7 linked regions of the Oryctolagus cuniculus genome follow. The protein of the gene in region 1 interacts with the protein of each later gene in a pairwise test. Links are inferred from orthologs where the notes say so. Each region holds a gene or a part of one and is shown in the gene's direction. Other genes may lie near its edges. The genes, in order: PPP1CB, PPP1R3C, PPP1R3B, PPP1R7, CSRNP2, PPP1R16A and SH2D4A.

Region 1 (3,500 bases):
TATAAATTAATGTAATCTTTGAAACAGTAGCCAAATTAATTCAATGCTTGTTCTTTAAACATTGAATCTTGACTCTGAAATTCTTATCTGACTCCATTAAGGTTGCGGAATTCCAGATTGTTGTTGCTGTTATTATTTTATATTGTATGCATCCACACTCAAAAATCTTGAAGCCAGCTACTTTGTGGTTTTACAGGTTGTCACTGAAATTATAGAGTCTTAGTATCTTGGTGCCTTTTTTTTGTTTTTAAAGATTTATTTGAAAGGCAGAGTGTTGCTGAGAGACAGGGAGAGAGAGAACATTTTCCTGTGTGCTGGTTCACTCTCCCCAGATGATTTCCAAGGCTGGGATGTCTAGGCTGAAGCTAGGAGTTAAAAACTCCATCCCGGTGGGTCTCTCACGTGAGTGACAGAGGCTTAAATACTTGATCTGTCCTCTGCTGCTTTCCCAAGACCATCAGTAGGGAGCAGATGGGAAATAGAGCAGCCAGAGCTCAAACCAGCCCTCTGTTATAGGACGCCAGCATTGTAGGCAGCAGCTTAGCTCACTGCCATGCTGGCCGCAGTATCTTGGCTTTCTGCTCACTGCTTTCATCTCAAGGATCAGACTGGAAAGTGGGAAGCATTAAAGAGTGCTGGAGATATGTGAAGAGCTTCAACCAGAAAGGGCTTATGAATTGAGACTACATATTCCAGTGGATTTTTTGTGTTGGCGAATTCCTTAAAACATAATAGCAGGAGTTTAGGAAATATCGATGATGGAAATTTAATACATTGCCATTAATTCTGTTGTATTTTAGATAATTCTCCTATGGAGATCTTTCAGGATAAGCTGTAATACGGAGTTTGATGCAGTGGTTAAGACATCACCCAGGATGCCCATGTTCCTTATTCAAGTGCCTGGGTTCGAGTCCTGACCCTGCTTCTGATTTCAGCTTCCTGCTAAGTTGCACTCTGGGAGGCAGCCGATGATGGTCTTGGGGCTTGGATCCTGCCACCCATGTGGTAGACCCAAATTGAGTTCCCAGCTCCTGGCTTTAGCCTGGACTAGCCCCAGCTGTTTTGGGCATTTGAAGAGTAAACCAACAGATGAAAGATAATCTGTTTGTCTTTCAAATAAATATAACTAAATTTTTTTAAGAATAAAAGATAATAAATTTTAAAAATCTTAAACCATCTCATTGTATTAAAAACACCTTCCCTGGGGCAGACATTTGGTCCAATGGTTAAAAACTTCATTAGCCATTGTAATTCTTAAAAAATTATTTAATATCACCATTTCATTGTCCACTCCTGATGTCACTACAGTTCAACTTTTACTTAAGTATCCTACCCTGAACCATTGAATCTACTTTCATTAAGGTCTGATAATTTACTATAATTGGCCTATATTTGTTCTTTGTCTTACTCCATATATTTGTGGCATTGAAACTTAACCATTTCCAACTTCTAGACAATTCTTTATCCTTTTAGGAAATCTTTGCCAATTGTTTTTGTTGTTGTTTATTTTGATCATTCCTCCTCACTATTTCTTTGCTCATTCCCCGGTCTTCTCACTTTATGGTTTCAAGGTGGTTTGAATTCTAAGATTTCCATTACTCTTTATCTATTGAAGATGCTAAGATAAGTATTTCTAGTTCTGACCTCTTTTTTTTATTTATTTATTTAAAGATTTTTATTTATTTTATTTGAGAGGTAGAGTTATAGACCGTGAGAGAGAGAGAGAGAGAGAAAGGTCTTCTGTCCATTGGTTCACTCCCCAAATGGCCACAATGGCCGGAGCTGCGCTGATCTGAAGCCAGGACCCAGGAGCTTCTTCCCAGTCTCCCACATGGGTGCAGGGGCCCAAGGACTTGGGCCGTCTTCTGCTGCTTTCCCAGGCCATAGCAGAGAGCTGGGTTGGAAGAGGAGCAGCCGGGACTAGAACCAGCACCCATGTGGGATGCCAGCACCGCAGGCGGAGGATTAACCTACTACGCCACTGTGCCAGTCCCAGTTCTGACCTCTTTTGACCAAAACATTACTAAAGTTCAGGATTAGTCTGATTTTGTTCCACCATACTTTCCTTTTAAATCCTTCAGATCTAAGGAGAAGATATTTTTCTTTCCTCAGATTGGTCCGTAGGTTAAATGCAATCCCAGTGATATTACAGTTGAGTTTTCATGGACTTAAGCAAGCTGGTTCTGAACTTTATGTGGAAGAACAAAGGAGTCAAAATAACCAAGACAGTCCTGAAGAGAGAAAAATGTGGGGATACTAGCCCCATGAGCTTTTTATAAAGACTTACTGAAAACCTCTGGTGTGTTATGGGCTCGGGGATAAATAGTCTAGTGGAGTAGATTATAGTGCTCAGTAACAGCGTAACTCCATAAGGAAGGGATGAAAAATGCTACAGGGGCCAGCACTGTGGCTCAGCAAGTTAAAGCTGTGGCCTGCAGTGCTAGAGCCCCAGCTGCTCCACTTCTAACCCAGCTCCCTACAGTTGTGCCTGGGAAGGCAAGTGAGGTTGGCCCAAGCCCTTAGGCTCTTGCACTCAATGGGAGACCCAGATGAAGCTCCCAGCTTACGCCTGGCACAGCCCCAGTCTTTGCGGCCATTTGGGGAGTGAACCAGCAGATGGAAGATCTCTGTGTCTCTCCTTCTCTCTCTTACTGCCTTTCAGATAATAAATAAATAAATGAATATCCTGAAAAAAGAAAAAAAATGCTACTGAGTCAATCATTTATTCGTGTGTAAAAATTCAGAAAAAATGAACTTAGAGCATGTCGTACAGATTTCCTCTCTGTAGGACTGGTTCCAGTACTTCTCTTAAGAGGCCAGGCAGTCTTGTTGAATGAGTTAGCTAGGCTGAGATACTTGGGGGCAAATAATTACCATTGTTTATTGAAGGGTAAGAGGGCAGGAAAAGAGATGTGATGTAGATGTCCTTTAGTCGAAGTTTTTGTGTTTTATTTTTCCTTTTTTTCTTTTTCATTGCTGTATTTCTGTTCTTTAAAGGTTTGCTCTGTGATTTACTGTGGTCTGACCCAGACAAGGACGTGCAAGGCTGGGGAGAAAATGACCGTGGTGTTTCCTTCACTTTTGGCGCTGATGTAGTCAGTAAATTTCTGAATCGTCATGATTTAGACCTGATTTGTCGAGCTCATCAGGTATGAACTATAAGAGTTGTGGATAGCTTAATATTTGTTAACTTCACACAGTCCCTCTCATTTTATTTTTGAGACATCTGAATGACTTGTGTAAAGAAGGCAGTGGGAGAGACAAAGCCATTACCTAGATTGTACCATTGTAAATGCTTTGGAGCCAGCGTTGTGGCATTGTGGGTAAAGCCTCAGCCTTCAAAGCCGGCATCCCAAATGGGTGCCAGTTCAAGTTCCGGCTGCTCCACTTTTGATCCAGCTCCCTGCTAATGTCCTGGGAAAAGCTGAGGAAGATGGCCCAGGTGCTTGGGTCCCTACTACCCACATAGGAGACCTGAAAGAAGTTCCTGGCTCCTGGGA
Region 2 (4,254 bases), on another chromosome or scaffold:
TGTGGCGTTAATCAACACCAGGGGGCAGGAGAGAAAGTGGAGTGAAAGGAAACAAGTACAAAAGGATGTTGTGAATAATGGCTGAGGTATGTGAGAGCTTCCAGCACAGTCCTTGTGCCTGGCAGGAGGGCTATACATGTTGAACTATACTTGTTGCACATTTTAAAATCATTTAAAAATTACTTCTTAGAGAAGTCATCCATGTTCACTGTAGGAATTTTTAAAAATACAGAGAAGCTAAACATCAAAGACATTTTTAGTTACTCATAAGTTCACCACCTCAATAAAAGTACGGATAACATTTTAGTGAAGCATATTTTATTTACTCTGCATGCACATCTCTCTCCCAAAATGAGATCACAAAAAATTCTTACAATTTTACATTTCCCCATAACATTAGCTGGTAACATTCACCTTTTAGCTCAAGATATGATTTTGGGCAGAGGAAAGGACTACCCAGGCTTCCAGTTTGGGCTCCGGCCTAACCAACCCCTGGCAAACAGCTTAGCGTCTCTAGGTTTTAGGTTCCTCCTCTGTGAAATAGGTTGATAACAACGTTACCACCCATGTGACCTATGGCACCTTCCCCCTGCACGGTTTTTCCGGCCAGGGTAATTAGTGGAAGAGATTCTGGTGCAGTGGGGCTCGCTCTGGCATCAGCCAGCTCCACCTGTGAGGTCCTGGGTAGGTCTCGTGCCTCCTCAGTGCCTCAGTCTTCTTTTCTCTAAAGTGGAGTGAGACACACTACCTGGGGTTGTTGTGAGACATCTGTAGACAGAGCAGGGTCTGGCCCACAGTCCAGAACCATTCTGCTGCCCCTGTCTCCCACCGGAGGAAACCGAGACCACGGTGACCAGATCCACGGAGCTAGGAAATGCCACACCCAAAGCCCGGGCCCTGTCAGCTGGTTTTGACTGAGCTAAAAGGCTCGAATCCCTGCCCCTCACTGGTTGTTACATTTAAAAAATGAAGCCCAAACCTGAAGCATCTTTCCCAATTTCTTCTTCCACATTTTAGTAACTCCACTTTAACCGTTCCACTGCTGACTGTTCTTTAAAAGACAGCGTGATCTTTTTTGTACATTTTGACTGCTGGATATTTAAGTAGAGCAGAACTTAGATACAAGTTTTATAAAGACAGTTTATACTTAGAAACTTAATTTCAAGGTTGGGACGAATGGTCAAAAACCGCCCCCAACCAGCACAAAATAAGGAAAGCCCAGAGAAAGGCACTGGTGCTGGGAGGGCCGTGAATGTTCGCGTGACATTTTAGCACTGCTAAAGGACGTCAGAACCCAGTCCAGGGAGTTGGGTTCACCACTGGCTTTGGCTGGCCATGTGAGTGAAAAAGGCCATTTCATTTCTGTCTATAGTTTTTTCTCCCAGGGAGAAAACTGAAGAATAGATCAACTTACAAATTGCCTTTTAATTAAATGCTGTCTTATCGTTTTATAGGATCTGCGTGTTGAGAGGGTGGTTCCTGGCACCCACTATGATGCATTCGTGGATTCACCCTAAGCGAAACACACACACACACACACACACTCAGCCAAACTTCTCCCCGCGGAGGCTAAGGTGCGCTAGCACACCAAGCAACGAACAATGCAAACGTTGAAGACGTCGGGAGCCAGCCACAACTTGCTGTGCTCAGATTCAGCCGTGCACACACCCGCAGACGGATTCCCGAGGCGCTGGCTGGTGAGCTGGGCGCCGCCTCCCGGCTCCTTGCATGACTTGCCTGCACACCCCCTCGCCCAGGGTTCGCGTTACGCCGCTCAGTCCAGCTGGCCTAGGAGTCCCCAAATCCCGGGGCTCCCAGCTGGCGCTGGGCACATTCAGCCCCGCAGCTATCGCGTCCTTGGGGAGAGGGCTCGAGCTGCAGCTGGGCGCTGGTTGGTCACGCCAGCGGGCCCGCGGCCCGGCGATTGGTCCAAGGGATCCGTTCACGTGGTTCCGAGCAGATAAGCTGTCTCTCTGGCGCCTGACCCGCAATCTGCGGGAGCGACCTGCGAGGGGGCACTGCTGGGAGCTGCAGGGCGAAAGTGCGCAGGCAGCGGGGTGCAGGCTTTCGCGGTCAGCCCCGCCTCTCTGCCTCATGAGCTGCACCAGGTATGTTGGCTGCGACTCTGCAACCCCCGAGTCAGGCGAAACGTGCAGATGCATGCAGACTGGAATGGGGTGGGGGCGTTTTCGTTCTGTCGTTTCTGCAGATAGAGACCCCAGAGGAGGGCAAGTTGACAGATTGCTAGATTGAATCCGGCACTCAGGGGGCCTGGGAGGTACGGAAATTTGCAGTGTGTGTCTTAAGCAGAACGTATGTTGGCAATCAGCATCCTTAACCAGAAACTGTTTAAACCTGAGTCAGCTATAGTTCCATCTGCCTCACTGATAAGACTTCTCTTTTGGTCCTGCAAGTCTGTTCCTCGGACGCGGGCAGCCGGGCTTGGGGGAACAGACCTCTCATCTTGTTGGTTAGATAGTTTAGTTTGGTGCAAAACTACTGGACGCTTTCACAATCTTATCACGGTTCGCCATAGCAAACTCGGTCTCAGAGTTGGAGCAAACTATTATTTTTAACTCTTGGCCAGGACTGAAAATTCCAAGGAAATAGCCCAGTACTAAAACTGTCTTTCCATAAATGCAAAAGACAACAAACAAACCCAGGCTCCCATAAACTACTTTTAATAGCTTGCCCAGACATAACTTAGCAGAAGCCTTCTCTAAAAATCTAGCCTGTTCATTATTATTAGACCCAGAGTGATAGCTTTAGCTTTCATTTGTTTAAGTCTGCAGGTCACCCAGAAAAATCCCAGCGCTGATAAAGTGAGTTCTGCGAGTGCTCCTTATTATTCATTTTGTGAGAATGAGCGCTTGCTTGGTGCTTGGAGTTGCTCTAATGAGCAATGAAGGCAGACTTGGAAATATTGTGCACAGGATACACATAGCTCTGAATCCATAAGGCTGAAATACGGGGGAACTCTCAATCCCATGCCCTTGGCCAAATGTAATGTGAACCAAAGACCAGAAAAGCCTTCTTGAAGGATTCTTCTTGGTTTATTGCTGAGCATAGTTATGTTAAAAATTTTTCATAGCTTTAATGTCTTTCCGCTTATAAATGTCCATCACCAAAACATTAGAAAATATCCAAAAAAGTACAAAGACAAAAATAATTGTGAAATCCTATCACCTAGAGATAATTACTAACTTTTTAGTTTGTTTTCTATAAAGTTTTAAAATATTTATAAGTTCAAATACAATATATAGTTTTTAAAAAGCCCAATTTTCAGGTCATTAGTTTTCCCACTTAAATGCGGACTTGCCGTGGGCATGTTTCCATAGGAAATACAGGTTATGCAAATTTTTTCTTTAAGTGCCTGAACTGCTGACTTGTTTCAGTCAGTTACTTCTGAAACATGAGGAATAACATGACAAAGTGCAAAGGTAACTTTCTGCCTTCCATTCTCCCTAGCCTTGTCACTCTCAAAACCACTGCATACAAATTTTATTAATGAATCTTTTTTCTTTCCAAGTGGCTTACCTTTCCAAAGCAGCATAAATCATTGAGCAGCAAAATAAGCAAAGGCAGCGGAGGGACTGGATCTGAGGCTTCCAAACCTCTCTCATTGTTAGACCCACCTGGAAGGCTTTCTGAGCATCCCTGCTTCCTTTGCTCCATCCACAGGGGTTCTAAGTATTCAAATTAAGAAGAAAGAAAACCAACCGATTCTCAAGGTCACAGTGACTAGCCAGGGTTGAGAACCATCTCAGAGCCCTGGTTCTTAAAGTTGTGTAGAGATCATTACGTTTCCAACACTTCTGTTTTGCAGAAGGAGAAACAGAGACCCCTCCCACCCCTAAAAAGTTAAGCAGTTAACCCGCAGCCCTGCAGTCAGCCGACAGTGAAGGTGGACATAGGATGCAGGTGGGCTCACCTAACACTGCCGCCTCCTGCTCCATAGAACAGCACCTGCCTGATCCTTACTACATGGCTGGAATTCAGTCTGCACAAAAATAGTACTTATGAAGTAAGGACCCAGTGCAGGTGATGACCCCTCTCCCTTTTACATTCCAGAATGATCCAGGTCTTAGATCCACGTCCTTTGACAAGCTCCGTCATGCCAGTGGATGTGGCCATGAGCCTTTGCTTGGCCCATTCGCCCCCTCTGAAGAGTTTTCTGGGTCCTTACAATGACTTTCAACGAAGACATTTTGTGAATAAACTGAAGCCTCTGAAACCGTGTCTCAACATAAAGCA
Region 3 (4,221 bases), about 95 Mb from region 1:
TTCTCTTGTAAAATATGACGGGACCTCACATGAAGAGCAGTGACATCTCACATTGGAGTGCCCAGTCCTAGTCCAGGCTACTCCATACTTGCAATGCAGCCTCCTGCTGCTAATGGGCCTGGGAAGCAGCAGATGGGTGCCCAAGTCCTTGAGACCCGCCACCCAAACTGATGAAAGCTTTACTTAATACATACTAACTAGATCTTCTGTATATAAAGAGAATTGAAAATGAATCTTGATGTGAATGGAAGGGGAGAGGGAGTGGGAGATGGGAGGGTTGCGGGTGAGAGGGAAGTTATGGTGGGGGAAGCCATTGTAATCCATAACTGTACTTTGGAAAATTATATTTACTAAATAAAAGTGTTTATAATAAAATATATATATATATAAAAAGAGACCCTGCCACCCAAGTACTGGGGAGACTTGGATGGAGTTCTTGGCTCCTGACTTTGGCTTGACCTGGCCCAGGACTGTTGTGAGCATTTAGGGATGGAAGATTCTCTCTCTCTCTCTCTCTCTCTCTCTCTCTCCCATTACCTCTCCGGCACTCTGCCTTTCAAATAAATAAATCTTTTAAAAATTTAAATCCAGACATATATTCCTCAGAATATGCATATTCATGAACTTTTTGCAGACTCCTATGCATGGATTTCAAAACTTTTTCCACCAAAATACATTTGCATTTTAATTCTAATTTCCATGAACTTTTTGATGCTCCCCCTCTCATTCCCCCTGAGAACCCCTCGGCCACATCTGGGGTACTCTGTGGGTACTATGGGTGGTGGTCCCCCCACCCCAATACCACCTTCCAAGGAATCTGCTGTCATCCTTTCTGGCAACACCCCGGTACGATGGGCACAAGGCAAGGGCCAGCACCTGCTTCCCACACACCGGAAGCAACTTAGGACACGGATTCCTGAGGAGGGTCCCTGTAGAGTGCAGGGGAGTAGCCTTGATGACCCCTCTCAGGGCCCCCTCCCGGCTCTGCAGGCGACTGGAAGGTTAACAGTCCCCTGAGAGCTACGCAGCTGGAAGGGTCAGGTGGCTGAGGGGCCGGCGAGGCAGCAGGAAGCCACCCCAGCTGCCTGCCAGGCACGCAGCGCTCCTGGGTTTGGCTAGCACTTGGCCTGGGCACGGAAAACTTTGCATGCCGCCCGCGTCCGAGGCGCTCGGGTGCACCAACCTGCCTCCGCCCCCTGGCGCCCGGCCTCGGGCTCCTGGGGAAGCGGTGACCCACCGCCCCTTCGCAGCCCCTGGACTCCAGCCCTATCACTCCGGGCACGCTGCAGATCACGTGGCTGAGCGCTGCTTCCCCGCCGGGCCGCGGCTATTGGTCGGCGGCTCGTGTCCCGGGCGCGCTCATTGGCTGCGGGGGGCGTTCACGTGAAAGGGGGTCTGGGATGGAAAACCTCGAGTTGGGGAGCGAGCGACCAGAAAGTTAAAGGGAGCAGCTGGGGCCGCGGGAGCCCGAGTCCTGGGCGACGACGTCGGGGGCGGGAGAGAGGAGGTGAGCGGGCAGCTCGCGCCCGCGCAGGGACGCGGCTGCCCGCGGAGGGCGCAGACCCTGGCCCCGGCTCCTGCCGTCGCGATCGCTGCCCCTGTCACGCCCTGCGTGGCTGCCCTGTGGACTTACGAGCTGTATCCGGTACGTACCTCCCACCCCCGCGCCCACAGTCCGACTCGTACGTGCACACCCGCACAGGGACGCCCCAGACGGGCTGGAACAAACTGTTGCCCCCACGTGGAGCGGGCGCGTTAGGGACCCGTGTTCCACCGAGCTACAGGTCCCACCGCAACGGGCGGCCCTGGGGCTGGCCCGGGACTGCAGGTTCCCTCCCCCGCTGTTGTCCCCGGCTCGCAAATGGCCCCTTTCTCGCTGCAGAGTAGGGGTGTGGCGGGCAAGAGCCAGCCGCTTGGCCTCTGCGCGCGCCTCAGTTTCCCCGAAAAGTGAGAACCACGAGAGCGAGCCGTCTCCACACCCAAATGGACTTGCGCACAGAAGTTGTCGCACTAGGTGGTGTCTCGGTCCCCGAGGGCGGCGGGACGTAGGGTGTCCTCCGAGCCCCAGACCCGGGCTGTGCGGGGAGGCCGCGGCCAGGCGGCCCGCGCGGGGGTGCTCGTGCCCCGCGCAGCCCCGCCGGCTCGCCCCGCCCCGCCCCGGTGTGATAAGTCGGGCTCCTCCTCCTCCTCGTCGTCTTCCTCCCCCTGCCGGTCACGTCGGCCCTGCCTCCGGGACACAGAGACGCTCACGTAGTTGGGTGGCGGCGGCCGCCCCTGTCACCTCCCTCCCGGCCCTCGGATGCAGCGAGCACACCTGGGGAGGGGGCTTCTCCGCGGCCCGAAAGGTGGGTGCAGCGCGAGCAGGAGGGCCCAGTGCGGCTCTGCTGGGCTGAGGTGAGGGGGGCAGAGTCGCAGAGGGGCTTGTGGGCCCCCGGCAGTGTGGACGCACTGGTCTGACGCCAGGCCCCTGTTGAGCTCAGAGAAGGGGGTGTGGAGAGGCCAGTCGCTGCGAAAGAGTAGGTGCAGACCCAGAAGGGGAGCGGAGGAGTTGGGGGCTGCGCGGGAGGGGAGAAGTTGGGGGAAGGCTGGCCTTGGGGGCGTGTGGGGCAGCTGGCGTGAGTGGGGTGTGTGGGCAGCCTCCCTGCGGGGCACAGGGTCCGGGAGAAGAGAGAGGTATGGTTTCGGCTGGGGGAGAGGAGGAGGAGAGGAGGAAGTGGTTCATCTGGCAGAGTTGTCCGGGAGCCAAGACCAGAGTGAAGCCAGCGGGAGGACTGAACCCGAAGTCAAGTTGAGGTATGCAGGGAGAAGCCGGTGGGAAGACAAGTGTCGGACCTCGTTGGCCGCCTAGGCGGGACCTGGAAGAAGCCAGCGACTTGTCCTAGCAGCACAGCTGGGTGGACGCCTTGTTAGGACAGAGCTGTCTCTGGGCCTCCCTGTGGCCATTTTTGGATGGCCAGCTCTGTTCCCTTTTAACTTAGCTCTTTCCTGTGACCTGCAGCCTGGGTCACAAATACTCATCTGCAGTGTGCTTTGTATGATGGTGAGGAGGGGTCCGAGGGGCTTTGAAGGCTGGGGACAAGGCCCGCTGGCCTGAGGACAAAAGGAAGCAAAGTGAACTTTATCTCTGCTGGATCAGCCAGACCTCTGGGGAGGGAAGAGATTGGTGAAGCGGGGGAGGGGTAAATAGCCATGTCTGTGTCTATGACCTGCTTGTGGATGCTTTCCTAATGTAGTCCGATGCATTTGTGTGCTGCCCGTGAGTTGTTCATGCATCTGGTTTTTCTTATCAAAAGAGAGAAAGAGAGAGGGAGAGAGAGAATGGAAGGAAAAATGCCTCGGCCCCAATACAAAGAAGATTTGCTTCCTATAAAATGCACAATCAGAGCGGTCAGTGGCTGTGCTGTGAATGGAGGTCACGGGGTAACTGCCCGTACAGTCGGCAGTTTTTGTAAGAAAAGTCACCGCCGTGCCTCGCCCTGGCCAGCTGGCCAGGAAAGGTGTGTTACTACGTGTCACTCGCAGATCATGGGAGGCCTTTATGCAGAACTCTCGTGTTCATGGAATGTTAGAGTCTGGGCTGTGAACACTGGCGTCTACTCTGGGGCATGGCCCGGGCCCTTGCCAGGCACAGCTGACCTCGGAGGTGTCCACGTGAAAGCTCAGTGGCTGGGGACACAGCGTGGCCCGGGGAACAGCTACTGTTGCTCTCATGTGCCCGTCTGGCAGCTGCCACTCAGATCCCACGTCCCATACTGCGGTTCAAGTATGTGTCCGTATCTCCTGGCTCTGGTGTTTGTCCCTTGCCAACCGTGGGGATTTATAGTCCTTGGCCTGGCAGAGGGAAAGGGCTGGAGCAGCCAGAGAGTATAACAGGAGAGGAGGCCGCACGTACAGCCTGGCACTCCTGTGTTGGAACTGGTCATTTTCATGCCATCTGCAAATGAAGCACCTGTCCAGGTGCTGTCCTCTCAGGGACATAAAAAAGTATTACTTTGCACATCTCAGCTGCTAAGGGTGGTAGTCATCCCCGCCCAGTCCCGGGGAAAGACTTGAGCAGACAGACAGCCCACTCCAAATGGGCACTTTGGTGCACTGATTCTTGGGGGACGATTGGGTTGATAAAGTTGGAGTCTGTTACGAGGACAGGCAAGGCAGTCACGGCATAGCCGAGACTGAGGCCGCCAGGGCCAGTGTCCTCACCTGACGTTACAGTGGCACACA
Region 4 (3,500 bases), on another chromosome or scaffold:
GTTGAGCCCAGGCATTCCAGGATGGGATGCGGACAGATGCTCACCCCATGAATCCTTTTTTTAGACAATAAAAGAGTAAATGATAATTCTAAAAATAAAAGAATAAGTGATAATTGTAAAAACACAGGAGCTGGGACCCGAACACAGCTGCCCCTGGGCCCCTGTGGCCCCGGAGTTCTGTTTGTTTTGACTCAGGCCCCTTCCACGTGCAGAGCAGGTGTGGGGTCCTGCAGTGGAACTCTGCCAGATGCAGTCCCGGGACCCGTGGGCTGCCCCCCGGCTCTCTAGAGTCCTGAGGGACCACCACGCTGGTGCGCACCAGGCAGGAGCAGGGCCACAGTCAGGTTCCACCCCACAGAGACTGCACCCAGACGGCTACCCCTTCTCTCTAGTTAAACTCAGAGCTCTGTATAACCTCTGCTCATTAAAGAAGAATTGTTTTGCTTGTTCCCAGAATTCTAGATATTTCTTTTAATCTGCTGAGAAACATCGAAGGGATTGACAAATTGACACGACTGAAAAAACTCTTCTTGGTCAACAATAAAATTAATAAGATTGAGAACATCGGCACCCTGCATCAGCTGCAGATGCTGGAGCTGGGCTCAAACCGCATCCGGGTAGGTGCTGGTGGCACGGACAGCACAGGCTGCTGTCCCTCCCCCAGGCTGTGTGGGCTGAACAGGGCTGCAGGCAGCGCGTGTGGTTGGCTCTGTGGCTTGTCACGCTGTGGATTTTTCCAGCAAAGGAGGATTAGTGTCTTGAGGAAAACACTGATAGGAAGTCAGTGTGGATAAATCCTGTTTCCACACTAGGTGGCCCAGCCTGGCTCCTGCACACAGGTCCCAGCAGGCACTGCCTGACGTCCATGCCGAGCTGCCCAGAACACAGTGCTGGGTGGGCCCCTCCTGCCCAGACAGCTGTGTGCCTGGGACGCATCCCCCAGCAGGGTAGGGTCAGCACCTCTCCAGGGTCCACCTGACCTTGAGACTGGGAGGAGCACTGTGGTGTCCGTAGACAGAGCGGGCAGTGTCTTTGACAACTGTGAACAGCCCCGGGCATCTGTCGGGAATCCTGGACAGGTCACAGAGGGACCGTCGTGGGGGAGAGGAGGCAAGGGACTTGCCTGGGGCTGGGACAAGGAATTCTGTTGCCAGAGGTCCACGCAAGCCCACGCCTGGCGCCCTGATGGCACGGACGGGCCAAGAGCCTCTGCTTGCCCAGCTGAGGCCAGCACTCCCAGCCATCTCCACAAGGCTCTGGAAGCATCAGAGGATGCCTCACCCTGATGGCCAGGCAGGTGCAGACCAAGGGAGGTTGGTTTGAGCAGCCCAGGGGTCAGCGTTTCGCCAAGTGTCTCGCTGAAGAACTCCCAGGAGAAAGTGACTCAGAAATCGGCCTGCCCCTGCCTGTGGGAGTCCCCACTTGGTGCGTGTGAGCTCAGTGTGGTTATTGTCAGGTGAAACGTGCGGCTTGTTCTAGAGTGTGGTGAGCTGACCAGAGGGAAACTCAGCTATGCACAGTGCCCAGGCACCGGGGGAAGCAGACGGGACAGCCTGGTCCTGGCTTGGGAGGTGGAGGTGCACGGGTGCTGGCAGGACGTGTGGCTGCAGCGGGGGCAGCAGTGCGCAGCCTGGGAACAGTGCAGAGTGGACTCCGGATCCTGAAGTCCTAGGGTCAGAGCCCCCCGTGAAGGCCAAGGCTATTGTGAGCACAGAACCCGCTGGGCCTGCGAAGTCCTGTGTGCCAGGGGCTCTCAGGCTGTATCCTCACCCAGAGCTCTGACCACGTGGGGGTCAGGATCCTTCACCACTCTCCTGTGCCCGTGCCCGTGCCCGTGCCCTCACCCTGTTCTTTCATGCATGGGTTCGCGGGGAAGTCTGCAGAGCAGATATGGCCCAGGCATCTTCCCTCTCTGGTGAGCTTGGAGGTCTCCTTGCTCACCACTGCTCTGTCCTTTTCACAGGCAATTGAAAATATCGACACATTAACCAATCTGGAAAGTCTGTTTTTGGGGAAAAACAAAATCACTAAACTGCAGAACCTGGACGCACTTACCAACCTGACCGTCCTCAGCATGCAGGTACGGCTCCACACTTCCTGCAGGCCAGACCTGTGGCCCCAGCCCATTGTGGACCTCACTGTGTCCCACCAGCAGTGCTTTGCTTCCCTGTTGGTGACTGAGACCTTAGATCCCACAGACTTCACACACACACACATTCACACAGACTTCACACCCTGTTCTCACATGGTTCACACACAGACTTCACACTCAGACTTCACACACACATTCACACAGACTTCACACCCTGTTCTCACATGGTTCACATACAGTTCACACACAGACTTCACATATAGTTCACACACATGCAGACTTCACATACTTCATGCACACACATGCTTTGTATACACACTTCCACTGTATACACATACACTTCACATACACACACTTCCTGTCACACACTTTTTGTACACAGTTCACACACGTTTTTGGTAAGCATTTGTTTTATTTATTTGAAAGGCAGAGTTAGAGAAGGAGACAGAGAGAAATAAAGGGAGATTTTCCATCTGCTGGTTCACGTCCCACACCGCTGCAACAGCCAGGGAGAAGCCAGGAGCTTCTACTGAGCCTCCCACGCAGGTGCGGGGGCCCAAGCACTTGGACCATCTTCCACTGCTTTCCAGGCCATAACAGAGTGGGATCAGAAGTGAAGCAGCTGAGAATCGAACCAGCACCCATGTAGGATTCAGAGTTAGAGAGACACAGAGAGCGAAAGAGAGGTCTTCCATCTGCTGGTTCACTCCCCAAATGCCCTCAAGGGCCAGGCCAAAGCCAGGAGTCAGGAGTTTCATCCCGGTCTCCCACATGGGTGCAGGGGCCCAAGGACTTGGGCCATCTTCCACTGCTTTCCCAGATGCCGTGGGAAGAGCTGGGTCAGAAGTGGAGCAATGGGGGGCCGGTGCTGTGGCACAGTAGGTTAATCCTCCACCTGTGGTGCCAGCATCTCATATGGACGCCAGTTCTAGTCCCGGCTGCTCCTCTTCCGATCCAGCTCTCTGCTGTGGCCTGGGAAAGCAGTAGAATGTGGCCCAAGTCCTTGGGCCCCTGCACCCGCGTGGGAGACCTGGAAGAAGCTCCTGGCTCCTGGCTTCAGATCAGCGCAGCTCCAACTGTTGGCAGCCATCTGGGGAGTGAACCAACAGATGGAAGACCTCTCTCTCTCGCTCTCTCTCTCTCTGCCTCTCTTCTCTCTGTGTAACTCTGACTTTCAAATAAATGAAATAAATCTTTAAAGAAAATAAATAAATAAATATAGGACTTGAACCCATGCCCATATGGGATGCTGGTGTCACAGGCAGTGGCTTAACCTACTACACCGCAGTGCTGGCCCCACACTTCACACACTTCATACACACGTACTTTGTGTGCATACAACTCATGTACACACCTCATTCATGCCCCTCCACTCATACACAGGCACTTCACGTAAACCACATACACA
Region 5 (3,500 bases), on another chromosome or scaffold:
GGCTTCCAGGACTTCATTGCAGAGAACGAGACGGCAGTGATGCACCTGCAGAGCGCGGAGGAACTGGAGCGGCTCAAGGCGGAGGAAGACTCCAGCGGCTCCAGCGCCAGCCTGGACTCGAGCATCGAGAGCCTGGGCGTGTGCATCCTGGGGGAGCCTCTGGCGGTTCCCGAAGAGCTGTGCCCAGGCCTTACAGCCCCCATCCTCATCCAGGCCCAGCTGCCCCCAGGCTCCTCCGTGCTGTGTTTTGCCGAGAATTCAGACCATCCTGCCGCCTCTCCGGTGAACATGAACAACCCATCGTACTTGAACAGTGGGCCCCTGGTCTACTACCAGGTGGAGCAGAGGCCAGTGTTGGCCGTGAAGGGAGAGCCTGGTCCGGAAGAAGGCCCGGCGCCTTTCCCCAGGGAGAAGGATCTGAGTGTCTTCTCTGTCCCACTTACCTCGCTGGCGGCTCGTCCCCCAGACCCGCCTGCCCCCTGCAGACCCGAGATGGGGAAGACAGCCGCCCTGGAAGCGCTCCTGCCCGAAGACTGCAGCCCCGAGGAGCCCGGCAGTGAAGACTTCCGCCCTTCCTGGTCCCCCTCGAACCTTCCCTTCCGCTCAGACAGTGAGGGCGGCTGTGGGGCGGAGGAGACCTCTCAGCCGAGTGAGGACCGGCCCCCCGAAGAGGCCACCCTCGAGCTCCCTCTGGCCGTGTGACGTGGAGATGGAGACGGCCTCTTCCCCACTCTATTTATTCCCTTATTTTATCGAACGTCATTTCAAAACAAAACTGCAGAAGCGGCTGCTGCTCCCATGTTATTTTATTGGGGTCTTTGGGGAGACGGGAGGGAAAGGATTGTTTGTATACATATTTTTTAAAAGAGAAGCAGTACCAAGGAGACCAGCCCCAGCTCGACCCGGGCTAGAGCCTTGGGGCAGAGGCTGCACTGCGCCCAATACTGAGCTTTCTGGGCCACTGGAACAAAGAAGTAGGATGTCCCAGAGAAGCTGGGTAATGCAAGCAGCTGTTCTTCACGTAGGGACCAGAGCACGAGCTTGGGGACCACTCCTCTCTGGAGCTCCAGGCAGGGCACAAGCTCACTGCTGGCAAGGGCCCGTCCGCTAGCCCGCCTCGGCGTGTTGCAGCACGATTGGAGGAGTCGGGGCCGAATCTAGACAGGAGGGGGCGGAAGGGTGTGTGCTTCTGTACAAAACCTCTAGGGTTTCTAAAACTGTAACCTACCTTCCCCGACTCCCTCTTTGGTACATAAGTTAATATTTGACATGTTCCTTGTTCTCCGACCTGGTCCCCACACTGGAGATTCCTGGTCTGTAACTTGAATTGTTTCTTTCATTTGTTCCTAGGTACTAGAGTTAAACTTGTCGATTTGTCTTTTTTTTTTTTTTCCCCTTTCTTTCTTTCTTCATCCTTTGAAGAAGAAAGCTAGACTGGCTGGGGATGTGGCACCATGAGCCCGAGTCTCCCCTGCTCTGCCAGGCAGCTGCAGGCTGGGGCTCGCCCTCCCGCGAGAGGCCTGTGCGGCGCACTGGCCACGTCCAGAGGAGGCAGCCGGCACAGGTGGCCGCCTGGGAAGTTGACTTTATTGTGTCATGCTTGCTTTTTCGCCCTGGCCCTCCCCCTGCCCCCAGCGTTGGCAGATCTGGGATTTAGTAGAACGTAGGCAATCTGAGGTCACTAACTGGTTTTGGTCCTTTTTTCCTGTATCTTGGATATACAGGGTTAGAGCTGTTTAGATTCCGGTCAGTGCCCAGAACTGCAGGTGTTTAATGGACCTCTCCACTGAAAATCAAAGCCAAATCCATCCTCAAGTGCCACGTGCAACCCCCAGGGCCCAGAGGACTCGGGTTCTGAGCCTAACCTTTGCAGTCTACAGAACGGACTCACTTCCACTTCTCACCTCTGTCGGGGGGTTGGGGCCCAGCTTAGGTTCCGAGACCTGCTCCACTGAACACCACTGATTTCCGTCTAGTAGCAGTTATCTTGGCCTCTGGAGCAAAACATTGTTTTTGCTAGCATCCTTCACACACCATGCTTTACTTCTGCTGTAGTTTAGCAACCTTTTTTTTTTTTTTTTTTTTCTGATGGGAGAGAGAACTATTCCTACTCAGCTTCTCATAAAGCCTTTTTCTGTGGCTGTCAGGGCCCAGCTGTGTTAAAGCAGCCTTCATGTGTGTTGCAGCAGCGTCTCACCTATGAAAACCTCTGATCTCTGATCTGAGCCTGAAAGGCTTCGTACACAGCACAGATCTGTGTGTGACTCACGTCGCTTCCCGTGCATTCCTGAGTTTGCTTGGTTTTGTTTGGAGGGGAGTTCTTAATTAGGCACCTAGGTCCTTCTCTCCCCAAGTCTGAGCCTCACCAAACAGAGCTAGGGGTCTGCCGGAGAACACCCCCAGCTGAGCTGCGTTCCCCACCTCACACTGGTGCCCTGGGAGCTAAGGCAGAGCTGGAGCGAGAATCTGGTCTTTGGGGAGAAGAATCTTTCTTGCGTGTGGTGTTGAAAGGGGAGTGCGAGCTCTCAGGAAGGCTGCAGCTTCATCTAGGAAGCAGATCCCAGCTGCTCTAACAACCGCCGCTGGGCTCAAGCCAGGACGATGAATCTGTAGTTACTCTCCTTGCCGACACTCCCCTCCCCCATGATAATTGAGCAACTGTGCTTTGCTGCTCTCAGTCTCTTTCACTCCGCTTTCCTGATGCACACTGATCCCAGACTTCTGAATGCTAAACATGAACATTTAGCATAAACCGTCTTGTCAAGCAAGGGGCCTTTCTACCACGTGGTCCATTTCATTTCTGGTGCTACCTGAGTTGGACGGGGTTCTAGCTCATGGCTGCTAGGAAAGGCAGGCCTCTGACCAGAGAGCGCGCTTCAGTCCCCCTCAGCCTAGGTCTAGGTAAATGACCCTGATTACTGCGGCTCATCATTCTCCACTTTCCTTTCTCACATACTGTACACAGTGTTTTCAATGTGAATCCAAAGCTTGTCTGGTTCTTTGAAAACTTTTTTTTTTTTTTTTTGCCTTTTAGGTTCCTTACATTGTGATAATGCTGTATTTAAAGAGAATATTTAAATGTAATATTAAAGAAATATTCAAAAGAATGGTGTGTTATTCTTTATCTTGACAGGCCACAATTCTGTTACCTGTTAGGCAAAGAACACTTTGCCAGTTTTGTATATAAAACTAATTAGGTCAGTTAGGAATTAATGTTAACAATAGCAACATTCTGTGATGGAAAAAATAGAACATTCTCTTTGGAGCATCCAGAGCTTGGCTTGCTTTGCGCGCACATACATGAGTAGGCCTGGCTCCTGCTGACGGAGCTGGGCCCTGTCTATGCGGTTCCTACCCTTGGGTCCCTTTTCTCGTTCCATTAACTTTAAAGATGGATGAAACTCTCCATTCCTGGTTACCACCTCCAAACGTCCAACAAAAAGATCGGCTTCCATCCCACCAGAAGTGTCCTGTTCAACCAATCCAATCCCTTTAGTTAA
Region 6 (4,069 bases), on another chromosome or scaffold:
CCTGTGTGCCCACCCCGTGGGGAGCAGGGGCTGAGTGTGCCCTGGGGGTGCCTCACGGCTCCTGCCGGGCCCTTCATGGGGGTCAGCCCTTCCCCGGCCATGGCCGACTGGCTGGCTGCCCCCTCGGCACTCCTGTTGGGGCCCTCTGCCTCCTGTTTCTTGTGCTCCACGTAGGGGGTTAGTGCCTGTGGCTTCTGAACCCGCTATGTCAGCAGAGATGTTCTCTCTTTGATTTGAAAAGCAGACACAAAGGGACACGTTTCATCTGCTGGCTTACTCCCCGGTCGGTTGGACAGGTGAGGCTGGGCCAGGAGAGGCCAGGAGCCACAGGGAGGTGGCAGGAACCCAGCCGCCAGCGCCATGCGGCACCTGGGGCCTCCAGGGAGCGCCTTAGGAAGCTGGGGTGGAAAGTGGGGGCTCTCCAACACGGCACGTGCGTGTCCCCAGTGAGAGCTAACCACTGCTCTAAAGCCTGCCCCTCCTTACTGGCCTTTTTTAAAATTATTTTTAAGGACTGATTTATTTATTGGAAAGGCAGGTACACAGACACACACGTCCTCCACCTGCTGGCTCACTCCCCCAGATGTCCACAGTGGCGGGGCTGCTCCCCGGGAGCTCCATCCAGGTCTGCTCCGTGGGTGCAGGGGTCCAGGCACTCGGCCATCTTGTGCTGCTTTCCCCGGGACACTGTCAGGGAGCGGGATCCCCGTGGGGTGAGGCTCCCGTGGGACGCCCTGGGGCCTCCCTTGCTGCCAGGATGATCCCGAGTGCCGGCGGGGTTCCCAGTGCCGGCCTGGACCTCTCTCTCTTGCACATGCTGCTTCCTCCACCCGCGCAAGCAGGCACGTGCGGGGAACTCCCGCCTTCCTCGGGACCCCACACGCGGCGGCGGGACACCCATACCCCATGCCGGAGTTCCTAGCTCCGGCCCCCGACCCAGCTTCCTGCAGGTGCGCACCCCGTGCAGCCGCAGTGATGGGTCCCCGCCACCCACGTGGGAGACCCGGGAGGCTTTGCTCGGGCCTCCGTCTCTTGCTGGCTCTGTGGGTCTCTCAAAGAAAATGAAATCGAGTAAGCTAAAAACATCTAAAAAGTCCAGCTCACATGGATGATCACCCGACCGGAGGGCCGGGCCACAGCGACACCATCGACCCACGCCTGGCCCTCGCCAGTCCCGGGGCACGCCCCGCCCCTCCCGAGCGCGCCTCCCGCCCCGCCCCGCCCCGCCCCGCCCCGGCGGCCCAGGCCCCGCCCCGCCTCCCATGGGGCACCGCGGCTTCCGGCTCTGGGCCGCGCGGGCCGGAAGTGTAGCGTTGCCATGGCGAAGGCCGGGCGCGGGGCCCGCCCCCGCGGCACCGAGGAGAGCGAGCTGCTGACCGCCCTGCGAGGGAGATGAGACGCGGGCAGCTGCCGGCGCGAGAGCGAGGTGAGGCGCAGAGCTCCGGGACCTGCGGCGGCACGGGGCCGAGGGCCAGGGATCGGGGGCCGGGCGGGGCCCCTGCCCGGGCAGGAGGCGGCCGAGCCGGACCCAGGTGGGGGCGCTGGGGAGATGGGTCTGGCGGGCCCCGCCTGTGGAGGCCGCCGCGAGGGCGCTGCTTCTGTCCGAGTGTGAGGTGGGTCTGGGCCCTCGGTCGTGGAGGTCAGCTGGGCTTGCCTTGCCCGGACTTGCTGTGCCTGCGGCCTGCGGCCGGCCCTGTGGGCCGGAGCCGGGGCGTGGGCGCAGAGGGGAGGTGGCGCGAGCCAGCGCCGGCCCCGCGCTCTCCGTCGCCTCTGAGTCTTACCTGGACGCGGGGCCGCGCGCTCTGGCGGGGCAGGGTCCTGCCCGCAGCACCTGGCCCTCTGGTGCCACCCTGCCCGCAGCACCCTGGCCCTCTGGTGCCACCCTGCCCGCAGCACCTGGCCCTCTGGTACCACCCTGCCCGCAGCACCCTGGCCCTCTGGTGCCGCCCTGCCCGCAGCACCTGGCCCTCTGGCGCCGCCCTGCCCGCAGCACCCTGGCCCTCTGGCGCCGCCCTGCCCGCAGCACCTGGCCCTCTGGTGCCACCCTGCCCGCAGCACCTGGCCCACTGGTGCCGCCCTGCCCGCAGCACCTGGCCCTCTGGTGCCGCCCTGCCCGCAGCACCTGGCCCTCTGGTACCGCCCTGCCCGCAGCACCCTGGCCCTCTGGTGCCACCCTGCCCGCAGCACCTGGCCCACTGGTGCCACCCTGCCCGCAGCACCCTGGCCCTCTGGTGCCGCCCTGCCCGCAGCACCTGGCCCACTGGTGCCGCCCTGCCCGCAGCACCCTAACCCTCTGGTGCCACCCTGCCCGCAGCACCCTGGCCCTCTGGTGCCACCCTGCCCGCAGCACCTGGCCCTCTTGTGCCGCCCTGCCCGCAGCACCTGGCCCTCTGGTGCCACCCTGCCCGCAGCACCTGGCCCTCTGGTGCCGCCCTGCCCGCAGCACCTGGCCCTCTGGTGCCACCCTGCCCGCAGCACCTGGCCCTCTTGTGCCGCCCTGCCCGCAGCACCTGGCCCACTGGTGCCACCCTGCCCGCAGCACCTGGCCCTCTGGTGCCACCCTGCCCGCAGCACCTGGCCCACTGGTGCCACCCTGCCCGCAGCACCCTGGCCCTCTGGTGCCGCCCTGCCCGCAGCACCTGGCCCTCTGGTGCCGCCCTGCCCGCAGCACCTGGCCCTCTGGTGCCGCCCTGCCCGCAGCACCCTGGCCCTCTGGTGCCGCCCTGCCCGCAGCACCTGGCCCTCTGGTGCCGCCCTGCCCGCAGCACCTGGCCCTCTGGTGCCGCCCTGCCCGCAGCACTCTGGCCCTCTGGCGCCGCCCTGCCCGCAGCACCCTGGCCCTCTGGTACCACCTTGCCCGCAGCACCTGGCCCTCTGGTGCCACCCTGCCCGCAGCACCTGGCCCTCTGGTGCCCATCAGAGAGTCGGCGCTGCCCTGGCCCAGCGTGGGCCCGTTTCCTGAGGGGGCTGCCTGTGGGGACCTCCCGGTCCCTCACTGTGACGGGTGTCCAGGGCTCCCAGGTGTCAGCTGCCTGCCCCTGCCTCAGGCCCCCTGCCCAGTCTTGCTCAGAGCTGGGGTGGAGCGGGGAGTTCCTCCCCTCCGCCGATGCCCCGCTGGACGTCCACTCTGCCGGCTTTGATTGGCCCGTCTTGGCCTCATCCCTCACCTGTCCCCACAGGGCTGCCTGGGCCAGCAGACGCCTAGCTAGGGGACGTGGGCATCTTTGGGCCGCACCTTGGGCTCTGTCCCAGGGACTCCGGGAGCTCTGGGCGGCGTCGCGGGCCACTTCCTGTGATGTCTGCACTGCAGGACCCTCAGGAAGCTCCATCTCGGGTGACCCCCTGCCTGTGGCCAGAGCAAGATGTCTGGCTGTTTGTTTACCTCCAGGGACTTTGGGAGCCTCCCCTGAGCGTCCCTGGCCCAGCTGTGTGCAGGTGGGGCGAGAGCCTGGCCAGGTACAGGCCGGCCCTGTGTCCCGGTCTCCTGGGAGCTGCTCTGCACACTCAGCAGGTGGTCAGCTGCTGGCTGTCCTGGGGTCAGCACTGGGTGAGGTCTGAGGGTCAGCAGGGGAGCCCGCAGTAAAGGGCTCGTGGCCCAGCGAGTACAGCCTCTGCCTGCGGCGCGGGTTCCAGTCCCGGCTGCTCCGCTTCTGATCCAGCTCCCTGCTAGTGGCCTGGGAAAGCAGCAGCAGATGGCCCATGTGGGAGACCTGGAAGAAGCTCCTGGCTTCGGCCTGGCCCAGCCCCAGCCACTGCGGTCACTGGGGAGTCTGTCTCTCCTCCTCTCTAACTCTGCCTTTCAAATAAACTTTTAAAAAACTGTATATATTTATAAGAATGTTGAAATAGGGTGCAGAGACATGAGTGACAGGAGCCGCCACGTGCCCTCGGGTACTAGAAGGTGACGGGAGGAACAGGTGATGACGATGGCACCAAGTAGGCAGACGGGAAAAGTTTTCAGCTTTGCCGGTCAGGTGGCTTCCTCAGAAGACCACCTCGCGTTGCGTTGTGGAGCGCAGCATGGCAGGCGATACAGACGAGCTGTTTCAACAAAACTGCAGTGTTTGCG
Region 7 (4,176 bases), on another chromosome or scaffold:
GCTGTGGCTCGGGAGTGCAGTGGAGGGTGGCCCAGGTGCTTGGGCCCTGCACCCCATGGGAGACCAGGAGGAAGCACCTGGCTTCTGGCTTCGGATCAGCGCAGTGTGCTGGCCGCAGCATGCTGGCTGCAGTGGCCATTGGGGGTGAACCAACGGAAGAGGAAGACCTTTTTCTTTGTCTCTCCCTCTCTCACTGTCCACTCTGCCTGTCAAAAAAAAAAAAAAAAAAAAAAAAAAAAAAAAAAAAAAAGACAGAAGCTATAGGTGGGGCCAGTGTTGTGGCTCAGTGGCAGTCACCGCCTGAGATGCCAGCATCCCGTATCAGAGCTCCGCTTCTGATCCAGCTGCCTGTTAATGCGCCTGGGAAAGCAGCAGAAGATGGCCCTCAAGTACTTGGGTGGCTCCATTTGGGAGACTCAGATGGAGGTATAGGCTCCTGGCTTCAGCCTGACCCAACTCCAGCCACTGGGGAGTAAGTAAACCAGCAAATGGAAGATCTCTCCTTCCCCACCACATTCCCTCTCGCTCCCTCCCCCTATGCCTTTCAAATAAACAAGTATTTAAAAAGCCACAGGTGTTTTTTTAGTATAATCCTGGAAGTAATGCATCCTTACTTTTGCATTTCTGTGGGTCACCAGGAGCAACTCTGGGACCTCATGGGAAGGAAGCTACACAAGACTGTGGGTCGCAGGAGATGGGGATCATTGGGACTTGGAGGCCAGGTGACACAGGAGGCAAAACCCATAGCTTAGGTGTGACGCGGTTAGAAGCTGGAGTTTACAGTGTGTGGTGTGAACGAATGTGAGCCAATGTGTTTGCACAGTCAGCACCTTAAAGCAGAAATTCTATCTGCTAGAATGACCACTGCATCCCCAGGTGTTGTTTCCTGCCAATGCCTGGTTCTCTAACCTGCGGCTCCAAGCTCCCACTAACTGTGAGCACCTTCTGCAGCTGGGCATGGGGTGGGGTAGCAAGGGGACCTTGCTTCCCTGGCCTTCCTGAGCGGGCCAGGCAGGCTGCGTGGAGCACACCCGGGGCTCACGGCCACCTTTGCCCACACCTCTCCGGGGGAGGCCGCCGCTCTCCCCGCACACAACTCTGTAGACCACGGCCACCCCACCCGTGCTAGCTTCCTCCTGGCTTCTTTCCTTTGCTGCCCCTGTCGCCTCCACCATTCCTTTCCCGTCCCGCCGAGCCACACCTGTCCGCACAAGTGCCCGAGAAGAGACAAGGCAGAGCGGCGAGTCGCGGGGCGCGCGGGACCCGGCCGTGGGGGCTGAGCAGGGCCGCCCCCTGCAGGCCCCGCGCCGCGGCGTGCGTGCGCGGGAAGGCCCGCGGCCGAGCCCTCGCGCACCGCCCGGCCCGGCCGTCACTCAGCGGCCTGTGGGCGCGGCGGCGGCGGCGGCGGGGCGGGAGCTGGGCTCCGCCCGGGCCTCGGCGTCTCGCGCGCGCCAGCCCGCGCCTCCACCACAGCTCCCGGGGCCGCCCTGCTGGACGTGGCGTGCGCGCCGGCGAGCCCAGGGCCGCGCACAGGTGGGTGCTGAGGGCGGGGGTGGCCGGCGCGTGGGGCTGGGGTCGTGCGGTGTAGGGTGTCCGGTGTCCGGTGTCTGACGGAGCCGGCGGCCGGGTGCGCGGCGTCCCGGGGCGCCCTGAGAGGGAGGGCCCGAGGGCGCACAGGGGAGTCCGGGGCTTCCGGCGGGGTCACCCTCAGGGGCAGGGCCATGGGGACCCTCTGCGCCCCTAACTTTCCCGGGACGCCCTCACGTGGGGTCGCGGCGCCCAGCACCCCCAGCTGCTGTCCCCGTGCTCCCTCGAGGGGGCGCCTTGCAGGTTTTCTGTGTGGGTCGCCGCTGCCTTCCCGGGGGTCTCAGAGAAGCCGTGGGCGCTGCACCCTCTTTGCCCTTACCCCCTCCCCCAAGTGGCTTTTGGCTGCTTGTTGAATGGGAGTGACTTGGGCACACTTACTTTGCACTTGTGAGGTGAATTTAAAGAGTAAATACGTGGAAAGACATTAGGCGGGCAGCCACCTGGCGCGCAAGTGGGTGTTTCTGGGCAAATTCGTGGATGCGATCATTTCAAATTCCCGAGAATGGTGGCTCTTCACACACTTTACCAAAATGTGCTGGCGGCCCTGGCAATCCCGGTGAGCCTTAAAAACAGCCCTTTTGCAGGTGGTGGTGGTGGGGTGAGATAACTTGAATAAGATCTAAAAAAAACAGGGCGAGCTGTTTGGAAACAGTCATCCGCATTTTTAACGTGAGAGGTAAATCGTGCCCACCTCAATGTCGTGCCCACGCGGATTTCAGCGGTCTTCCAGGTCTTTGGGTTTGTTTAGGTCTGAGTCGTTAAAAGCAGGGTTGTGTTCTACAACAGTGACTGGGGAGAAAAGTGTGAGAGTCGGGTCAGATCCGCCCAGAAGCCCTGAAGAAACTGGTTTCGGGAATCAGCAGCGAGGGGGTGGGCTCCTGGCTGGTCACCCCTGCCTTTCAAGAGGGAAGTTCCGTTTTATTGGGTCCTGAGCAGCCGGAAGTTTCCTGCACTTGGTGTTATCAGACCAGGAGAGCCATTCGGGTGTGGATCAGTGCTGGCAACGTTTGTGCCCGGGGAAAAACCCCTGCTGAGTGGATTTCTCCATTCAGTTTCCTGTACCCTGGTTCTCCCTGGCTTTGTAGCCTTACGCTCGGTCATGCTACATGGTGCAGATTCATGCACACTGCATGGTTGGGGAAACTGAGTCCCAGGAAGCCCCACGTCCTCCAGCTCGGGAGAAGGAGGGTTGGGAGGCCAGGCAGGGGTCCCTGTGGGTTTCTGTGAGCACACCGTGGGCATCCCAAGCCTGGTGGGGTGAAGCTGCTTCACGCTGGTGTGAATGAACAGCTCACCCTCAGCTGGAAGTCGGCGCCTTCCCTGAGGGTGGGCTGGTTGACGGTCCTGCTGGAAACCCACGTGGGTGGCCGGAGGCAAAGCCAGGCCACATAAACATGGAAAGAGCTTGATGCCATCGCAGACGTGCCCTGAGTTCTGCACACGAGAGAGGGGCTGCACCGGCTGCCCTGTGGCTCCCAGCGCGTGTGGAAAACCAGCGGCTGGGGAGCGAGCAGGGCAGACAGTGCAGGCAGGTGGAAATCCTCCAGCACAGACAAGGAGCGCATGGCTGACAGCGCTGTCCATGCTGCCTCTCCTGGGTGCGGGTTTTCTTTCTTTCTTTTAAGATTGTTTATTTATTTGAGAGGCAGAGTTTCAGAGAGACATTAGAGAGAGAGGTCTTCCATCTGCTGGTTCATTCCCCAAATGGCCTCAGTGGCCAGAGTTGTGCCCATCTGAAGCCAGGAGCCAGGAGCTTCTTCCAGGTCTCCCACATGGGTGCAGGGGCCCAAGAACGTGGGCCATCTTCTACTGCTTTCCCAGGCCACCACAGAGAGCTGGATCGGAAGTGGAGCGGCCGGGATGCAAACCGGCTCCCATATGGGATGCCCGCACTGCAGGCGGAGGCTTGACCCCATGGGGTGTTTTCAAACCTGATCCCTTCTCCCCTAAAGCTCATCTGCTGTCCACAGGGGTGGGGCTTCGGCCCCTGAGCGACACCCGTCTTAGGCCCCTTTAGGTCATCGTTTCCCTTGCCGCAGGCCCGGATGGTGTCCTGACGGTTCGCCGAGATGAATTCAGAAACCAGGCCCCTGTGTTGGGCAGTCTAGCGGGGGGCAGACTTTCCTGCCAGATGGCCCGGCTCTGCACCTCCCAGCCGGTGACCTGGGCCCAGCTTCCTCCCTGAGAAGGGGTTGGTGATGGGTTCCCGGCAGATGAAGTGAGTCAGTGCATGCAGGGTGCCCGGTAGCTCTGCCATCAAGAGGACAGGGTGGGGTGTGTCAGGGGGAGGGGGGAGAGAGAATGTGAATCTTACACTTCCAGGCTTTTCGTTCTGAGGGTCTAGCCGTCCTTTTGATAGGGCTGCCCCCATTCAAAATGGTCAGAGCAGGAGCCTCACCCCTTGGGCTGCTGGCGCTCTGCCCTCTGCAGGTCGGTGGCTGGATATCAAGAGGTCTTCCCTCTGGGTTCTGAACCATGCACTGGACCGTGCACTCTCCAGCACTGGAATCCAGTGCCTTGGAGCCAGCCCAATCCTTCCTGGAGGAGGAGTATCCTCTCTCTCTCTCTCTGTCTCTCTCAGATATATTT

What was found.
Region 2: the proteins of PPP1CB (region 1) and PPP1R3C interact in binary tests that used the Homo sapiens proteins (3 or more experiments, as listed by UniProt). The two-hybrid records come from large-scale screens. The link is inferred for Oryctolagus cuniculus from reciprocal best matches to the Homo sapiens genes PPP1CB and PPP1R3C.
Region 3: the proteins of PPP1CB (region 1) and PPP1R3B interact in a two-hybrid assay, tested with the Homo sapiens proteins (2 studies listed by BioGRID and IntAct). The link is inferred for Oryctolagus cuniculus from reciprocal best matches to the Homo sapiens genes PPP1CB and PPP1R3B.
Region 4: the proteins of PPP1CB (region 1) and PPP1R7 interact in binary tests that used the Homo sapiens proteins (3 or more experiments, as listed by UniProt). The link is inferred for Oryctolagus cuniculus from reciprocal best matches to the Homo sapiens genes PPP1CB and PPP1R7.
Region 5: the proteins of PPP1CB (region 1) and CSRNP2 interact in binary tests that used the Homo sapiens proteins (3 or more experiments, as listed by UniProt). The two-hybrid records come from large-scale screens. The link is inferred for Oryctolagus cuniculus from reciprocal best matches to the Homo sapiens genes PPP1CB and CSRNP2.
Region 6: the proteins of PPP1CB (region 1) and PPP1R16A interact in binary tests that used the Homo sapiens proteins (3 or more experiments, as listed by UniProt). The two-hybrid records come from large-scale screens. The link is inferred for Oryctolagus cuniculus from reciprocal best matches to the Homo sapiens genes PPP1CB and PPP1R16A.
Region 7: the proteins of PPP1CB (region 1) and SH2D4A interact in binary tests that used the Homo sapiens proteins (3 or more experiments, as listed by UniProt). The two-hybrid records come from large-scale screens. The link is inferred for Oryctolagus cuniculus from reciprocal best matches to the Homo sapiens genes PPP1CB and SH2D4A.

The regions. Positions count from the first base shown.
Region 1 is NC_091433.1:174,168,179-174,171,678, reverse strand, and holds part of PPP1CB (serine/threonine-protein phosphatase PP1-beta catalytic subunit), read left to right. Parts: intron 1-2,997; coding exon 2,998-3,149; intron 3,150-3,500. UniProt on the Homo sapiens protein: Protein phosphatase that associates with over 200 regulatory proteins to form highly specific holoenzymes which dephosphorylate hundreds of biological targets.
Region 2 is NC_091446.1:38,806,694-38,810,947, forward strand, and holds the start of PPP1R3C (protein phosphatase 1 regulatory subunit 3C), read left to right. Parts: upstream 1-1,454; 5' UTR 1,455-1,728; coding exon 1,729-2,108; intron 2,109-4,071; coding exon 4,072-4,254.
Region 3 is NC_091433.1:78,798,559-78,802,779, reverse strand, and holds the start of PPP1R3B (protein phosphatase 1 regulatory subunit 3B), read left to right. Parts: upstream 1-1,421; 5' UTR 1,422-1,645; intron 1,646-2,188; exon of another isoform or gene 2,189-2,345; intron 2,346-4,221. UniProt on the Homo sapiens protein: Acts as a glycogen-targeting subunit for phosphatase PP1. Facilitates interaction of the PP1 with enzymes of the glycogen metabolism and regulates its activity.
Region 4 is NC_091434.1:516,581-520,080, reverse strand, and holds part of PPP1R7 (protein phosphatase 1 regulatory subunit 7), read left to right. Parts: intron 1-454; coding exon 455-617; intron 618-1,963; coding exon 1,964-2,080; intron 2,081-3,500. UniProt on the Homo sapiens protein: Regulatory subunit of protein phosphatase 1.
Region 5 is NC_091442.1:54,540,235-54,543,734, reverse strand, and holds the end of CSRNP2 (cysteine/serine-rich nuclear protein 2), read left to right. Parts: coding exon 1-702; 3' UTR 703-3,104; downstream 3,105-3,500. UniProt on the Homo sapiens protein: Binds to the consensus sequence 5'-AGAGTG-3' and has transcriptional activator activity. May play a role in apoptosis.
Region 6 is NC_091437.1:168,177,306-168,181,374, forward strand, and holds the start of PPP1R16A (protein phosphatase 1 regulatory subunit 16A), read left to right. Parts: upstream 1-1,269; 5' UTR 1,270-1,426; intron 1,427-4,069. UniProt on the Homo sapiens protein: Inhibits protein phosphatase 1 activity toward phosphorylase, myosin light chain and myosin substrates.
Region 7 is NC_091439.1:3,497,812-3,501,987, reverse strand, and holds the start of SH2D4A (SH2 domain-containing protein 4A), read left to right. Parts: upstream 1-1,376; 5' UTR 1,377-1,533; intron 1,534-4,176. UniProt on the Homo sapiens protein: Inhibits estrogen-induced cell proliferation by competing with PLCG for binding to ESR1, blocking the effect of estrogen on PLCG and repressing estrogen-induced proliferation. May play a role in T-cell development and function.